Linked DNA regions of Kluyveromyces lactis. The protein of the gene in region 2 purifies or fractionates together with the protein of the main gene of each other region. This does not show direct contact. Links are inferred from orthologs where the notes say so. Each region holds a gene or a part of one and is shown on either strand. Other genes may lie near its edges.

Evidence for each region.
Region 1: the proteins of KLLA0_C18238g (region 2) and PEX32 purify together in Saccharomyces cerevisiae (affinity purification with mass spectrometry; 3 studies listed by BioGRID, with this or other methods). This does not show direct contact. The link is inferred for Kluyveromyces lactis from reciprocal best matches to the Saccharomyces cerevisiae genes PEX30 and PEX32.

Annotation. Positions count from the first base shown.
Region 1 is NC_006041.1:2,186,991-2,190,283, reverse strand, and holds PEX32 (Pex32p), read left to right. Parts: upstream 1-1,620; coding exon 1,621-2,769; downstream 2,770-3,293. Other genes in the region: DAL3 (ureidoglycolate hydrolase), read left to right, coding at 1-164; KLLA0_E24685g (uncharacterized protein), read left to right, coding at 335-889; ribonuclease P/MRP protein subunit POP7, read right to left, coding at 968-1,378; DPC25 (Dpc25p), read left to right, coding at 3,193-3,293.
Region 2 is NC_006039.1:1,610,547-1,614,307, forward strand, and holds KLLA0_C18238g (PEX28-32 family peroxisomal membrane protein), read right to left. Parts: upstream 2,411-3,761; coding exon 830-2,410; downstream 1-829. Other genes in the region: RPL38 (60S ribosomal protein eL38), read left to right, coding at 1-232; U2-type spliceosomal complex subunit CWC24, read left to right, coding at 2,765-3,454; cullin CUL3, read right to left, coding at 3,499-3,761.

The DNA.
Region 1 (3,293 bases), on a different chromosome or scaffold from region 2:
CTTACGGTGCTGGAGTCTGGCATGCCCCCATGATAGTGGTTGGTGAAGAAGAGTACCTCGACTTTACAGTAATAATAAATGAGTTACACGACCATAATCAGCTTCAGTATGATTTAGAAGAGCGTTTCTACGATAGTCAACTGTCCTTGAATCTGTACTACTGAGATATATATATGTTCTACATCTTATTTAAGTTCATCGTCATAGCTTTGACTGAAAAAAAAAAAAAGAATGAGTAATTTCAGTCCACATCGCATCAAATCGCAAGTGTAAAGGAAGCAGTGTGCATGAAACCGTTGAAGTGCATCTGAGGCAAGAGAAGTGATACAGTGTTATGCTTCGAAGAATGTCAGAACTGGTTTCGAGTTTTTCTGGCCTTCACATTGCTTCGGCTGGTTCAAAATCGGTTGTGACTCCAAGTGATAATGCGGACCTTACAAAGGGTGGTAGAAGGAACCAAGCATTGACAAAACCGATCACCATCGATAGTAATACAGGAGAGGTACTGGTTAGGAAAACAACAGGTAAAACGAAAGTAAGAAGAGGTCAGAGCGCGGAAGAATATAAGGAACAACTTAGACAGTATTTCTTGGAGGAGAAAGGTCCAACGAGAACTGAGGAAGATGCCTTGAAGATGGAAGATTTTGATCTGTTGATTGAAGATGAGAGTTTTGACTATGCATTGAAGCAAGTACGACAGAAAATGGTCTCTTATGCTCAGAAATATTATTACGAAAGAGATTACATGAAGTGTTTAAAAGTATCAGAGCCGTTATTGCATAAGTTCGAGCCGTTCAATAAGAAAAACAAGATACGCAGAGAGTTAGAAGAACTCAGATACATGATCGAAAAGTCAAAAGCAAGGTTGGAATTGCAACCGTCCCGCTAGTATTTGATATGTCTACACTGAAATATCTATGTAACTCTATATTAATGTGCGCTTCCCATACTAATATTGATTACGCAATTATACAGGACTTATACGCACTTCAACACCGCTCAAAGTACGCTTTGTCAGTTCCGTTTCCCTGTCCTCTGTTGAAACCTCATTTCCATCTTCATCTTTACCATCATCAGCGAATACCTCATCCAAAACATCTAATGTCTTCGTTAATATGTCAACTTTGTAATCACCCATTGTATTGAAGTGTGCAGCAACTGATAGAGTTTTGAAAACAGCTTTACCCATGCCCAGTAGTGTAATGTATTCACTTTTACGTCTATGCAGGTTGGAAAGAAACCTGTTGGTTCGTTTCACCACGGAAATGTAAGGCGATGAGCTCTTCACGTAGATTGTAGTTTTAATTTTATCATGAGAAAACGTCTTCACTGTCGGAAGTTTTCTTCGTAACTGATTTAAATCCTTAGTATTTCCCATAACGTGGTGTTGTAAGGTTTTTTCGAACGCCCACGAAGCAGATTGCTTCTCTTGTCTTCTTAGAAAAGCCGTTTCTCTTGTTCACTTCTTCAGGCCAATTCAAAATCAGAGACTTTAATTAAAAGGAAATATAGATTACAATACCGATTGTGCAAATAACAAGTAAAGGGCAAGAAAAGAAAACGGCGTCTGGATAAGCTCAAAATCGGTTATTAGTGCATACAATATTGTTCAGATGTACCATGAGCAACAAGAAACTTCATGTCAGATTTGTTTCTAAATCGAAATCAGTTAATCCCCCATATAAACCACAAGACTTAGAGCCCATTACAATTGCATGTCTTTATAGATTATATCCTTGGCTCCTACTGCTGGACCAGTTATTGGATAAACTTATGTGGCATATTGACGATGTTTCCTTACAGTTGATATATATTATATTGCTATGTTACTCAACAGCGTTGGTTGTACCGAAGAATACTTCCTTACTTTTCCAAGCGTTTGATATATGGTTGGGGTACACAAGCGTATTCATTCTTGCTGGCACTATGTTTTATTACAATTATACGCTATGGAAAGAGCTTGAACAGAGCGAAGCACCCACAATAGATGAAATCACTCATACTTTGGACTCTGTTCTTGAGAAGCTTAAAACGGTTCAAAATGAAGTCCTCGGTACAGACAAGGTAAGAAAACTTACTAATATCAATTCACAAACCTTTAAGATAGTGGCTCTTCTGACAGTAATTCATTTAATTACCGTTAGTTTTTTGGATGTACGAACATACTCAGTGCTTGTCATTAGCCTTGTCTCCGTGTTCCATTCAGTGTATTACCAGAGCACGATGAAACTCCTATGGAGGTATTTGTGGATAAGGCGATGTTACTATTATATATGGGACAGCGTACCATCGGAATCCAAACTGGAAACCAACTTTCAACAATACAAGGTGATTTGTGAGAGTCAAGTCATTCCATTCCCTAAATCTCTACAAGGCTTGAAGGGCCAAGAGCTACAGGTTCAACTACAAATGTTAATCCTTCAGGATCCAACTAAGATTGATCCAGAATCCGATTACGTACACGTCAAGATCATCGAATACAACGTTGATGAAAACGAGAGAAAATGGAAGCAAGAGGGCTGGACCCCAAAATTGCTACCTTACGAAAGAGCTCACTTCTCTAATTCATTCACCCAAACTCCATCTGTAACACCATGGAAGTTCCACGAAGAACTACCTTCCGATTGGATCTGGATTGAATCTACTTGGGTACCCGGCAGCTGGCAATACTGTGATGCAAAATGGAATTTATTAGGTGCGAACGATTCGATTGCATGCTTCACTCGTAGAAGAACTTGGAAACGAAGAGCGTTCAAGATACTAACCTGAAGTTGGTCAAGTGGAAACTCCGTTTTTGGCAGTCGAAGTACAGCTCGAGAGTGTAACCACATATATATATATATATATATGTATATCTACGTAGTTTTGTAAAATGTTGCTGGATACATGTAATCACAATTTATTTATACATGTATACTCACATCACTGTACTGTCAAATAGGGTGCTAAGGATCTACGACTGCTATCTCATCTTGTTTTCTGAACCTTCCTTTCATGCTTTTTAATCATCATCACCGATTATGGCAACCGATACTCTAAAAAAAAAAAAAAAATCCCAATGAAGAGAAGCATTTAAAGTTTAGACAAGATAATAATCACGGAGAATAATACACAAATCAACATTGACAATCGTCAATAAGTGCGTATCAAAACGCTGTCGATAGTATCCTGCATAAGATCTATATTGCTGTGATGATACGTATAGCACCACCTTTGAGAAATGTCAGATATATATTTACTGCCAAGCCAGTGCAAATGACTTTTGAGGGCAACACCGAGGGGGTATACGGAAG
Region 2 (3,761 bases):
TAAGGAAATCGCTGATATTAAGGAATTCTTGGAATTGATCAGAAGACAAGATGTCAACTCTGCTACCGTCAAGATCAACAAGAAGTTGAACAAGAACGGTAAGGCTTTCAGACAAACCAAGTTCAAGCTAAGAGGTTCCAGATACTTGTACACCTTGATTGTTAACGATGCTGGTAAGGCCAAGAAATTGTTGCAATCTTTGCCACCAACTTTCAACGTTAACAAGTTGTAAGGGTAGTCTAGAGAGACACTAATACTTTCTTTAATACCATATCAACTGTTTTTTTTGGAAATTCCACCAATCGTCTGTTTCAACCCATGGTGTGGGGTAAGTACTCTTATTGAATTGAATTTAAATTGAATTTGAATTGATTTAATTACCAGCACTTTGTACTGGCAATTTTTACCTGAGGAACGAACCATCCAGATTGAAATGAACAAACTCGTCAAATAAGTTATAATAAACGCATACTTTTTATCTGCATTCTTTCATTGATGAGACGATAAGATTACTACTCTAATGATGATAATACAGCTTGTATTAAGCGTCCAGTGGTAGGTTTTTTTTACCTGTGTTAATTGTCTTTGCGAGCTTTTAAAGTTTTATTTTGGGCTTCACAAGGAAAAATGACTGAGGTTATACACAGTATGAATTTTCCCTGGTATTATTAGTACAAGCTCTGTTATATCGTCATTATCACTGCATGATTATTATCTCATCTATTTTTTTTATTTGTTTTTGGTATATATGAGTATATAGGTGTGCTTTAAGCACGCTATTCGATACGAGTTGGAAACTCAGGGGACAGGCATACTTCGCTGTGAAATGCTACCTTGGAGTATCGTCGGAAGATGCAAGATTTGATTCGGTGACCCTGGATTTAAGATCTCCAGATGTGTCTGTTGAACGTTGGAAATTCTCATTCGGACTTTCTTCTATCACTTCAGAGTTATCGTCTGTTGTTTTATTCTGATCTCCCTGTTCTTCAGAACTGGCATCAGAATCACCTTCCGTATCCTTTTCGTAGGAATCATCAGGTATGATTCTTACGTCACTGGTATCACTAAACGATACTTTCCTTTGATTCGATTGAGAACCTGGTTCTTCTATCCTTACGCTTTTCCTCTTCTCTGTAGTATTTTCATCCGATGAATGAGAGTCCGACAAATTTACCATTGAGGGCACTGCACCAATCTTGATCAATTCTGCAGTTCTAATCCATCTACGACGTCTGGTATACTTAGAGAATGAATCCTCTGTCGATGGTTTTTTCCATGTGTTATCGTAGTAAATGAAGCCATCATCCGCACCAGGCGAAGCAGTAGTCTTTGGCCTCGTACTAGAGAGTTGGATGGCTCCATCATTGGTCATGTCAAGTCTCCATGTCTTATCCACCCATCTCCATGCCATACCGCTAGCCTCTTCTGGAAGTTTAAATTGTTCTGGAGATGGTGCCTCGTTTAAAAACTCATCTGTCCATGAACTTCTCTCGTAAGTCAACATGTTGGCAGTCCAGCCAATACCGAGCCAACGTCTCTGGTTCTCATATAATACATAAGTGAATCTAATGGGTTTCCCATCATCTGCATCGGTTCCAATCGAGCTCGATGAAAGATTCTTGACTTTCTTATGCACTGCAGCGAAGATTCCACCTTGATGCTTGTTAACACCACTCAAATCAAGACCGGTTATGTAAAAGACAAGTAACCGGACAACCTTTAATTTCCACAATAATCTTCTAGTGACTACAGACCATGATGAATGGTACGTGAGCACGTAAACACCAGCGATCAATACCAATTTCTGTGATGAGAAGATGAATATTGACACAATTACATAGACAGGCGAAAGAAACGCCATCGTCAAAAGTATCCGCTTAATATCGTTTCCCGTCCATACGGACAAGGGCGAAAGTAATAAATCAGCCTTCGTGTACACACAAGAAATGATATGCACAATGTCATCTAGTGTAGGCTTTTCCTTAATGGTAGTTTCCACAAAAGTATCCAAAGCAGAATATCCCCATAACAATCCGACAAACAAGAAATGGCCAAAGTACCTTACCACCACTTGGAAATACAAGATTACTGCGATGTAGCATATAACCATCAATACGCTCTTCCAAATATCGTCGCTAGTCCATGTTAAGAGCCCCAAAAACTCATTGCAAACAACCAAGTAAGGATAAAGCTTTACTAATGCTTTTGACACAGTAGGAGGCGTGCTGTTCAACAAAGGAGACGATTCCACGCCATTGCTGTTCTCAAAGTTTGTTTCTCTTCCACCAAGTTTCTGTTTCTCTTGCTTCTTCAATGCACTACGTAAGGTGTGGCTAGCCTTCTCGCTTAACTTACTCTCATCCTTATCCGTATCCAGAAACTGAGCCCTAGTTTCGTTAATGTCACTCATGTCGTTCTCACTGGCAATGATTAACTCTGCAAATTAAAATCAAATCACAAAAATCACAGCCAATATGAAACAATTGCTTTACCAGTTGAATGGTAGTCCTTCTGCTATTTTTTTCTGTCGTCCTTTGTCCCTTTCTTCGTAAAGGTCAGTCTTAACTCAATCTTTGTTCAAATCCTTTATTTTTTATGTTGATAATATGACAAAGATCACCTGAAATACGGTTACATTATTAAAAGACTATGTCATCGCAGGACAACTACGGACCAAAGAGGACCGTTAAGTATACTTAAGCAGTTGATATATGTTGATATAGTGGTAAAGGTGTTGGTTATATTGTTTTTTTTTTGAGTTTTCATGTTCAAGAAACGAGTAGTGAAAGGTTCCAGGGATAGCAAAAGGAAACGACTTGCAGATGAGGCCGTCGCATCTGACCCAGTGCTGCCGAAAGATACCGGAAAGACCGCTGTTGCTGAAGCACAGGTTGAGGTTGAAAATGAGGATAAACGTGCTTTGTATCTAGCAAAAGAAAGAGAAGAGCAAGAACAGGAGTTGGAACTCCGAAGGAAGGAACGTACGGTTTTAGAACAGGAGATAGACGAAGATATCGAACGGAAGGCAAAAGCCAAAGTTTCCGGGTTTGTCAAGCCAGTAAGCAAAAATATGAAAACGGTTACAATCACCGATTATCAACCGGACATTTGTAAAGATTTCCAAAAGACTGGGTACTGTGGGTACGGTGATAGTTGTAAGTTCCTACATTCCAGAGATGATGTCGCAGGTGGATGGAAACTCAACACGGACTGGAAAGTCGATGAAACTCAGGAGAAAGAGGTTCTCAAAGAGTTGGAAGAGATACCGTTCAGGTGCTTCCTTTGCAAAAAAGAATATACATCGCCCGTGGTAACAAAATGTAACCACTACTTTTGCAGCTCTTGCTTCATGAAGCAGATGAAGGTCTCAACAAACTGTCCTATATGCGGGAAGGAAACGGAAGGTGCTGCTAAGATGGCTACCAAATTGAGAAAGTTGTTAAAGAAGACGTGAAATAGTTTAATTGTTAAATGTATGGATAGAGTTAATAACTATATTTAAGGCAAATAGTGGTACATAGTTGTATTATCGAAATCCCTTTGTATGTACTCATTATTCAACAAATATTCGAGACTCATCTTAAAAAGACTTGGGCTCATTTCAAATAGTGGTATTGACAGTGCGACTTTGTCTTGAAGTTCGGAATGGTAAAGCTTTCTGTCTTGTTTCATGATCCTTGTCACAGCAGCATTGATGACACTTAGTCGAGAGTCCAGCAACTTCTTTTCCACACTTGACCTAGTAGAATCATTGGTAGCGT